2 linked regions of the Arabidopsis thaliana genome follow. The protein of the gene in region 1 interacts with the protein of each later gene in a pairwise test. Each region holds a gene or a part of one and is shown in the gene's direction. Other genes may lie near its edges.

The links.
Region 2: the proteins of LSH1 (region 1) and ARR6 interact in a two-hybrid assay, tested with the Arabidopsis thaliana proteins (one large-scale study listed by BioGRID).

What each region holds. Positions count from the first base shown.
Region 1 is NC_003076.8:10,453,052-10,458,001, reverse strand, and holds LSH1 (LIGHT-DEPENDENT SHORT HYPOCOTYLS-like protein (DUF640)), read left to right. Parts: upstream 1-2,320; 5' UTR 2,321-2,888; coding exon 2,889-3,461; 3' UTR 3,462-3,614; downstream 3,615-4,950. Other genes in the region: AT5G28491 (uncharacterized protein), read left to right, coding at 2,195-2,320. UniProt on the Arabidopsis thaliana protein: Probable transcription regulator that acts as a developmental regulator by promoting cell growth in response to continuous red (cR), far-red (cFR) and blue (cB) light in a phytochrome-dependent manner, at least during seedling development.
Region 2 is NC_003076.8:25,250,685-25,256,608, reverse strand, and holds ARR6 (response regulator 6), read left to right. Parts: upstream 1-2,290; 5' UTR 2,291-2,450; coding exon 2,451-2,601; intron 2,602-2,684; coding exon 2,685-2,761; intron 2,762-2,840; coding exon 2,841-2,918; intron 2,919-3,006; coding exon 3,007-3,077; intron 3,078-3,680; coding exon 3,681-3,864; 3' UTR 3,865-4,593; downstream 4,594-5,924. Other genes in the region: AT5G62930 (SGNH hydrolase-type esterase superfamily protein), read right to left, coding at 252-420, 537-701, 801-877, 969-1,109, 1,521-1,775; AT5G62910 (RING/U-box superfamily protein), read right to left, coding at 4,594-5,441, 5,548-5,614, 5,711-5,779. UniProt on the Arabidopsis thaliana protein: Functions as a response regulator involved in His-to-Asp phosphorelay signal transduction system. Phosphorylation of the Asp residue in the receiver domain activates the ability of the protein to promote the transcription of target genes.

The sequences.
Region 1 (4,950 bases):
ATTCAACATTGACTTTGACAGTGTTAGTCAATCGTTAATCAAAGTTTGAGTTGAAAAAGACCGCCATCAAATAGTACAGATTGATTTTGGCCGTTTTTCCCGTTAACTAGTTCACTAACTATCCATTGAATTTGAATTGTAAATTCATCAAACTTAACAAATTATATTCAAACAAATTGGATTCTATGTAATCCCAATCAAATAATGCATTTTCTACATTGTCACTATGCTATTATCCTTCTATCTTTACTTTATATCAGTAGAAATATGTGCAAAAGATAGTTGTACCACTATCTTTCACCCATACATTCTTCAAACACATTTTTTTACCACAATATTCATCATGACTAAAGCGTCGAGATTCATCAAGAGAAAAACCTATTTTTATCCTTCTATGTGTTGTCTTGACCATGCTATGATCGCATTTTTTCTTCTAGAAGGCGATCAAACATCACAACGAGTTTTTTTTCGGTTTTTCACCTAGTAGACGAATCACTTATCCTACGTTTTATCGTTATTTCGAACACACCGGAAAAATCAACAGAAAATATAAGAAATAATCTAACTTGAACATATATATACCCAAAAAAGAAAAAATAAATATGAGAGAACAAATTCATAAATTTGATATAAATATATATATATATATATATATTATATTTAGAAACCTGACTAAACATGAATTTCATCCAAAATTTACTTTAAAATTTTCAATTATATAAACTGAAGAGATAAGAATTTCGAAAAAGTTTGAAATTCCCTAGCCCTCTTAAAATTTTGGAAACGTCAAACTGCTTTCGTAGTTAAAGATAAATTATCCAAGCTGCTTCTATCAAGAGGCAAGCCGGATTATACTTTATTCTTAGTGATCATAGTATGGAAAAAAAGAGATAAGGTTATACAAACATGTGTACAAAATGAGATCTTAGAAAAGAGGCAAACACTTGCGATCAAAAAAAATTGTAGACTAACGATTTGTCGCTGATAAAAACCAATAACGAAAGAGTTGGTTATAAAGATGCTAAATATTAATTATCCAACGCAAGAGTTTTTTAAAATTTTTAATAGCAATTGTTTGAAGATTTCAGTTAGTAATGTTCAAATAAATGGTTTTTATTAGACAAATGTATATGACTTGTGATAATATCGTCGTTCTGTTACCATTAAGGCATTACCTTACAATAGTTGTGATCCCTTTTTTAAAAATCCCAGCCTAATCCGATTAATCCCTGTTTAATTGCTAGGTCCACCCTTTCTACCTCGAATAATAACTAATCCTTTAAAAATCAGTTATTTTATTAATTTTTGCTTAATCCAATTTTTTTTGATTAATTTTCGCCTAATCTTGAATATCCTAATTACTTTTAGATTGCAAGTATAAAAAAAATTTCTTTTTTGCTAATTAATCATTTAGTTTGAAAATTTCTAATGTTTTACAACAACTTAAGTTCAAAATTTAAATAAAAAACAGAAATTTTGTCTTAAAAATATAGTTTTATGTATTTACTATAATTTTGAAAACAATATTGGATTAATAAGTTTTAAAACATTAAAATAAATCTAAAATAACCCGATTTTAATTCAATTTTTTTGACTAATCGCTAGACCTATACAGTTTTTTTTAACGAGGGTTGTGATGCATGTTTTTGACAAAAAGAGAATAGAGTTATTTAAAATTTATTCTTCGTGAAATATTTGTTTACTCTCGATGCTAAAAATAGTTTGGTGCTAAAAGTATAGTCGGAGTTATTGCCAAAATCAACACGATGTCTACATGCTGCTCAATTGGCAGCCTTTACCATTGAGACAAAGCCGTATACTTATAGTAAATAAAATCGTCTCTGAGAACGAATTTAATTTATGGGGCACGGACACTAACGCATCAATATATACTAAATACTGAACACATGTTAATTTATAAAACTTGAAAGCCTATAGTCAATAAAGAGGTTTTGTGATAATCCACCGTTTATCACAAGAAACGTTTGTGTTTAAAAGTAGTGTATTCCTAGTTATATAAACCCATGATTGCCGGAAAAAAGAGAAGATATTTATATGTTAATCAGGTCGTTTTCAAAGTAAAAATTAAAGTGAAGTAAGAAAACAAGAATAATGCAATCCCTTAACCACAAAAAATAAAAGAATAATGCGAAAAAGAAAGTAATCAATATTTATAATAAAAAAAAAATGAAAAATGTCGCTGCAAATTGCAGACAAAGAACACAGACTCTTCCCTCCTCATGTCATGTCAATGTTCAACTTCAAGTTCCCCACTTTAACCATTGGTCACACTCTCTTTTCTCTCTCTCTTCATCTATGAAGTTACTCTTTTCTACGATGTGTAAACACTTAGTCCTCTTCTCTTCTCTCTCTCCTCTCTTGGAGCTACTATACACTCTTGAGTCTTGACAAGTGTGTTTTTGTGTATTGTCTCTCTATCATCTCCCAAAGTAGAAAAGCTAGAAAACAATAAAAAGGAAAAAAAGATCTCTTCCACTTATATATCTCCCCTTCTATAATCTTCTATAAGCATCAAATAAACTTCACTTCTCTCTCTCTCTTTGCCTCACCATTTCTGCTCACAAGTGTTTGTTAGATTTGATCTGAAAAAGATGAATCTATACCTTTTATAGTATCAATCTCATCATCACAACCAGCTAAGTTTCTCTCTCTTTCTCACTTTTTCTCCATTTGCTGCAATTATTGATCTTAGCTCAAGATCTACAAAAAAAGAACCCTAATCTCTCTTTGATCCATATAAAATTAAAGAAGAAAAACAAAACCCTAAATCAAGATTCAATCTTCTTCAACTATCCTCTTCTCTCCGGCTAGACATCTGCTTTGGCTTCACCGGCTGCTTTTTCCAAAATCAAGAACAAGAAAAAGCCATGGATTTGATCTCTCACCAACCAAACAAGAACCCTAATTCCTCAACACAACTAACACCACCTTCCTCAAGCCGGTACGAGAACCAAAAACGCCGTGACTGGAACACTTTCTGTCAATACCTCCGGAACCACCGTCCTCCGCTCTCTCTCCCCTCGTGTAGCGGCGCACACGTGCTCGAGTTCCTCCGCTACCTTGACCAGTTCGGGAAAACAAAAGTTCACCACCAGAACTGTGCCTTCTTTGGCCTCCCTAACCCTCCTGCTCCTTGTCCTTGTCCTCTCCGGCAAGCTTGGGGCTCACTCGACGCTCTTATCGGCCGCCTCCGCGCCGCCTACGAGGAGAACGGTGGCCCACCTGAAGCTAACCCATTTGGCTCACGCGCCGTCAGGTTATTCCTCCGTGAAGTCAGAGACTTTCAAGCCAAAGCTCGAGGTGTTAGCTATGAGAAGAAGAGGAAGAGAGTCAACAGGCAGAAACCGCAAACGCAGCCGCCTCTACAGCTTCAGCAACAGCAACAGCAGCCACAACAAGGTCAGTCTATGATGGCTAATTACTCGGGTGCAACAGTATGATCATATTTATATAATTTCCCCTTTTCTATATGTATTGTCTCTTATTTGCTTTCTCTAAGATATTAATGTAAAACCTTCTTTTACATTATCTACTGATGCTTTTGTTTCTGTACTAGTTGTTTATGAATAAGAAAAACTACGATTATTTACGATAAAGTGTTTGATCCATTATGTTCTTGGAGTTTTCTTTTGTTTTCAATTTTAACATTTGAAAGATGATTCGATGATTATTCTTGATAGTTGATACACTTAGGGCTCGTGTGTATTATGTGACCATGCTTTATGATTTATTAGTGGAGGCATCTTTAAATATCACTTTGTTAGAATTTAGATCATATAATAATCATTTATTTCCATGCGATTATGGTTGAGGTTTTAGGAACATTTTGTAGATGATCAATGATTTGTATATGAATCAAATTATATTTTAAAGGTCAAAACTTATATGTACTTATGTATTAGTATGATCTTCTGTCTCTTGTATGATTACTTTATGATATATACTAATAAACACACCATCTCACAGATATGTTTTGACTATAAAAATTGTTTCTGTATGCTCTCTAAGTTAATTCCAGATAATTTTAATTGAAATTAGAATATATAGATTGGTCGTTGTTAGGTCTTGTAGTCCCAAAATTTGATGAGCGAAGTCATCTGACATCCTTTCTCATTAAATGCCTACTATTGTTTTGAATATGGATTCACTGTTTTGACTTTCTAGGTCGCTTTAGGATTGGACTATAGGAGCTAGCCACCTTATAAATTATTGATTCTATTTTATTTCAGTGCATTATTGATTGATGTATATAAGGATTTTGATCAATTAGGAAAAAGTCCTCCTTTTTAGTGGCATTTGTAGAATTTGTCAGTTTTGCTAAAATATTTCTGATTTGTCATTTGCTTATTTATAAAAACATAATTTTAAACATTTTGTTTGGGTTTATTTGGTTCCAATTGTTTTTAAGATATAGTATTTGTTTTTAAGTATGTATTTTATAAATTCTACAAAAAACAATACATGTATGTTATAAAAAATCCCATTATTATGGTTTTGAAGTGCTAAAAACTGGCAAATTCACAATGCCATTAAGCAAATGACATATCTAAACGAAGTTGAGGCAAAAAAGGCAAAATCTGTAATAATCCCAAGAATTTTTCTTACTACAATATATAAAAGAAAACTATGAGAAACTATGATTTACTGTTAAGATAAGTTCGGCATCAGAAAGTTTCGTAACCTATAGTTATGAGTCTTGGACAATATATGCAAAATTTTACTTTAATCAAGATTATAATAATGTTACGGATTCCACATTTTACTGTACAATTGTCATGAGTCATGGTCAAATGATATTTTACAATACAAACATAGGTTATAAAGATAAAATATCACCAAAACATCTATAGTGTTTGATCATTAACTTTTTTTCTTTTCTTTTCCAAATACGTAACGCTCTGCTATAATCAAAAGTGGTAAGATTATATA
Region 2 (5,924 bases), about 15 Mb from region 1:
AAGAAGATTAAAAAAAATCTTTCAGACTGAAATATATAGCAAGGAAGATAGAAAGCTAGTGCAGGTACATAAGTCAAAAGTCACAACATATAGTAAGTACATCATAAGTTCATTTCTCTTGAAAACGATCTCTAGTGATGATGCACTTTTTAGGTATTTATTCACATCCGAGAGTTTTCTAAATCACAACATTGAAACGTGTTCATGAATTTAAATCAAAACAAACCTGCTCATGAATTTGGGGATGATCGTTATAAGCAACGCTCTTCAAAAGCTTTCGATGGGTTTTTACCATCGATATGCGAATGATGGGGGAAATCAAACGGCATTTCTTCGGGAGAGAGCCAAGCTTCTCTAAAAACTCTCGAGACTTCATCAAAAACTACCCCATTGCCTTCAGGCGTGAGATGGAGCCCATCACTGCTTATAGCCAACAACAACGAGCAAGAACCATTTATAAACAACAAACATGATTGAGGAGGAGATGAGTGTTTGTGAAAAACCAACAACATTTCAGATCAGACTTAGATACAGACCTTAGGTACTTTTTCTGCCAATCATTGGTTTCCTGCATCTTAGACCATAAGTTGACACATCGCAGACCGAGTTCCTCGGCCAATGCAACACAATGTTGTGCATATACCCCTGTTGTTTCGTTTGTTCTCTCAGGCTCTTTCATAGCTTTCTCACCGTAGATTGATCTGATGTAACACAATCACTGGCTCATTTAAGAAACATGTCGGACTAAATGCTTTGAGAAACAAAAATGCAAAGAAGAAAAGGATCATAATAAAGCCTACTCTGCATAACTTTGACGTCCAGCTTCATCAATTGGTGGTGGAGTTATAAGCACAATTAGCATTGTAGGTGAACATTTCTACAAAACAGAGTCATTAGTCTTTAAAGGAATCACACTTCAAGAAAAGTAAGTCCATGCATTAGAGTGGATCAAAGAAGCATATCAAAACCTTCAAATGCTGAACAATCTTTCTGACATTATCTGTGTACTCTTCCACCGGCACATGTTGTCTATCACTGGTTCTTCCTTTGAGAGCTGCATCGTTTGCACCGAAGAATATCGTCGTAGCAACAGGAGGAGACGAAGAGCCCTAGGCAAAAAGACAGAGTAGAACACATACTGAGATAGGCACACCAAAACAACACGCACTACAAGAAGAGTTCTCATGATATATGCAGATGTAATTGCCTTTTACCATCTCAAAATTCAAATCTAAATCTTTCGTACTTCAACCAATCCATGACAATGTCATAAAACCAACACATCCTAGAATCATATCAAAACCATTCAGAACTGAACCATAACAAGCATAAGCAAAACAAAAAATGATGCACAAGAGACAATAACTCAAGATCTATATCCACACAGATCATACACACAATCACAACAGCTCATGAACAAAATCATCCCAATGACTACCAAAATTCGTTCGTGTTTAGATCAAATTTCAAATCAACATTTGTAGACTCGAGGGAGGGAGAGAGAGATAAAAAGTACTGACGAGAGGGAAGATGTGATGAAGCAAGAAGAGAGCCCATCGGGTGTTGTAGCCGCCGTAGCCTCGAACCACAACATCAGCCTTGCGAGAGTAAGCGTCGGCAAGAGCAGATCCCCAACCGCCGGACCTAAAAGACTGCGCCGTGATCGAGTCGCCGAACAGAACTATCTCCGGCCTCATCTCGCTGTCTCCCTCCGGTTCACTGAGTAAACCGTTAACTGTATTAGGAAACTTAAAGTCTCTTCTGGGCCAAATCATATGGGCCGGGCCTTTAGTATTAATTTGTTATATTTTTGGTGAATGAAAAGGTGGTAATCTAAAGAGGTTTTACTAATTGTAGATTAAGGATGCGTGTAATGTTTTAGTATTAGTTTATGATTTCTTGATTTCACATTTTTCTGTCTTGAGCTTAAGTCAAAACCTCAAAGTGAACTTCTACGTAGATGAAGTATTGAAGTGTAGAAGTTAAATGCGTGAACTTCCACAATTCAACTACAAACACACTTTTACCAAAAAAAACTACAAACACACACAAATAATTTAAAAATAAAAAAAGAATTCTACAAGTTATTGAATATCGGTTTGGGTCGGTTAAATCTTGCATCCCATTCCAAATTTTCTGGTTTGTTCTTCGTTTTGACTAAACTTGAACCGATTGGTTTGACTTTATTTCGGTTTTTTGTTTTAACTTATTTAATAATAAAAATCCACCGAACTATTATTTATATAAAATATAAAATAAAGATTTTGAAAGCAAATTGACAAAATCTTAAAGATATGCAAAATCTCTCGATTTCATTCATATTTTTTCCCTCTTTTATTTCTTTCTTTCTTTCTTTCTACTTATATAAATGGCCCAACCACTGCCACCATGGTTTCACATCATATCTTTCTCTTCCTTTTTCTTCCAAATCCTCCAACATTCGTTGATCAATGGCTGAAGTTATGCTACCGAGGAAGATGGAGATTCTCAACCATTCTTCAAAGTTTGGATCACCGGATCCTCTTCATGTTCTTGCCGTCGACGACAGTCACGTTGATCGTAAATTCATCGAGCGTTTGCTCAGAGTATCTTCTTGCAAAGGTAATTATTACTCATATTTTGAAAAATCAGTCTCTGAATTCGGGCAAGTTATCTGAGTAAAAAGCTCTGTTTTGGTTGTTCAGTTACTGTTGTTGATAGTGCAACAAGAGCTCTCCAATACCTTGGTTTGGATGTTGAGGAAAAATCAGTCGGTTTTGAGGTATAAAACAATTTCCAAGAGAAAACAAAATTTTGCCGTAGCTCTCAAGCAATATGTTAAATCGTGATTTGTGCTTCAGGATTTGAAGGTTAATTTAATTATGACTGATTACTCAATGCCCGGTATGACTGGATATGAACTCTTGAAGAAGATCAAAGTAAGCAAACAAACATATAATGATATAATTAGTCAATGGAATTTGAGTTTTATGTTTATCTAATCCTTTTTTACGTGATTTTCCACAGGAATCCTCAGCTTTTAGAGAAGTACCGGTGGTAATTATGTCCTCCGAGAACATTTTGCCTCGTATTGATAGGTATAAAACTTCATCATAATCTTAAGTCAAACTATAGTAAATTTGGTGAATATCTTTGTCTTAGATGATCAAAAAAAGAATTAGATAAAACAAAAAGGGATTAGATCACAAAGTAAAGTTCCTGCTCATATGGTTAAAAGTTAATTTCCTTAAACCATTTTTGGTGGTGGATATTGCATAATTAAACAAATGTTGAGATTTGGTGATCTTTAATGGGTCCCAAGATGATTTTGTGTATAAAGATGTTTCTAACCAGCAAAATCTTTACTTTGGGATTTGATTCTATTTCTGGTGATGTGATATTACAATAAAATAAGTACATGATCTTGCTTGCCTAATATTTGGTAGGGTATTGTGAAAGCCACCTCACATGCTTTTTCACTTTGCATACAATATTAGGAAACCTCTAGACCAAATAAAATAAAAAGGAATATGTATTTGTGTTACACACAATGGCCAACTCAATTACGAACTGGCCATTTTATGATTGTTTGCTACATATACAACAAAAAAAAAACTTATTGATCCAAAGCTATCATCAACTTTATTGAAATTGGAGTTTACTCAAACTGATTTTCTTGTGATTATTATTTTGTCATTCAGATGTCTTGAAGAAGGGGCTGAAGATTTCTTACTGAAGCCGGTAAAACTCTCGGATGTAAAAAGATTAAGAGATTCTCTAATGAAGGTTGAAGATTTGTCTTTCACAAAGAGTATTCAGAAGAGAGAGCTAGAAACAGAGAATGTCTACCCTGTTCACTCGCAGCTCAAACGCGCAAAGATCTGAGCTCTCCGATGCAAATTCCGTGACTGGATCTTAGAAAAAGCCTTTTCATATACAGAAGCTTCAAGACTCAATGCACTTGAGCCTACACTGATGATTCTCGCCAGCTTAATGACCTATACAATTTTCCAACCCCTATGGCCTTTTTCGCTGATTGAATTCAGTGGGTTTATTCATATAGTAGTAATGTAAATGGTATAGAGATGAGCAAAAGCTATATTATATATTATATTCATTAGAGGGGTCATAGCTTTTTTCCTTACAAGAGATTTGTAAGCTGGCTTAATAGAAGTTGTTAAGAAGCCTCACTTTATGTGAATAAATGATTTTGTTAGCTAATCATAAACAATCAGAAGTTTCCTAAAAGAATTTGAAGTAATGAGAGTTGATCTCTGGTGAATGGTGATTCTAAAAAACAAGCTTTGGTTCATGAGTAACTTGTCAAGAGGATTCACCATAGCAACAAAATAACTCTTAAACCTTCAATAATGTTTGACAAGGAATAAATGCAGACCAAACATATGGAATTAGAAAAGAGAACATAGCATTCATTATTGAAACTATCTAAATGTATTTGAATCATTTTCTGTACCACCTTTTATGTATTCACACATCACATTCTACATCATCACCACAGTGTTTCAGACTTAGAACCATAGATGACATAGAAAACAGAGCTTAAGTTCTCGAGTTCCAAAAGACAACATGGTTGAGAAAACCGCACCTCTCCTTTTAAAACTTGCAAAACATGCTAGACGAACGAGCCAACCGAATTGTTAGACCACCACCTTGAATACTAGTCTCAGCCTTGACCATATTCCGTTCATAGGGTTTCCTGCAGCCTGGACAACGCCCATCTCCATCGCAAATGGTCTTGTGGCAGAACAGACAGAGCCGAAATCCACAAGGACAGGGGAGGAAATTCGAATCCGTCAAGTCCAAGTCTTCGTAGCATATGGGACATGAAGACGGAATCGCCACAGAGCTAAAACGCTTGTCTAACTCCGGAAAACTAAGCTGCTTCGCCAAATTAGGTAACCCCTGTGGGCGAAGGTCATCATCTAGCCTCCAAGCTCTATTACTAGTCTGCTTCCTTGATGACACTCTCAAGCATTCCTGCTTTGGATCTTCAACACCCACAACATCTGATGCATCACTAATCGACGAATCACACACATTAGAAGCTGATTGTCCAACACTCACTTGCTCTTTCACAGACTCAAGAGGACGACTCTTTTTCTCAATCTCTTCCTCAGCCGCTAACGCATCAGCAACAGCTTCCCAATCATCCACACACCCATCATCATCATCGTCTACATTTTCCTCTTCTGTTATATTACCAGAGCAAAAGCCACTGCTGCTACTACTACTCCTGCTACTTCTCCCACTGAAGTTAGTGCTCGAATATGTACCACCAACAGAGCTATTTGAAGGTGACTCCATAAAACTCTCATGATGAAGAAGATTATTCCCACCATTGTTATCCTCTTCTCTACGCACCTTATCTGAACTCTCATGATGAGGCTTTTGACTACGATTAACACTCCTCTCCTCTTTAACTTCCTTATTGCTCACCGCAACTAATATCAAAATCAAAAACCCAAAATCAATACATAGACAACCAAATCTAACCAAACGAATCAGGCAGAATTGAAACATTAAAGGAGAGAAAGATGAAGTTTTAACCTTGAGAAAGCCATTGCTCACGACGGAGACCAAGCTTGTTCTGCTTCATCTTAGCCGACTTATTGTTCTGCAAAACGTAATGCAATAACAAAACCATTAAAAATCAAAACTTTGAATCAATTTCAGAGAAAGGAATGAGATTTATCAAAGAGGATAACGTTACCCTCTTCTTCTTTCCGGAATCTCTCGGAGCTGAAGTAGCAGAAGCGTTGGTGATCGAATCTGTAATCATGATTCCGCAGATGAATCCTGACGAGTGAAATTACACAGTGGGTGAAGAATTTGAAATCAAAAGATGAATATTCTCAAAAACCCTAATTCAGATTTGGTGGCTCGAGAGAGAGAGAGAGAGAGAGAGAAGAAACGTGAAGATTTTT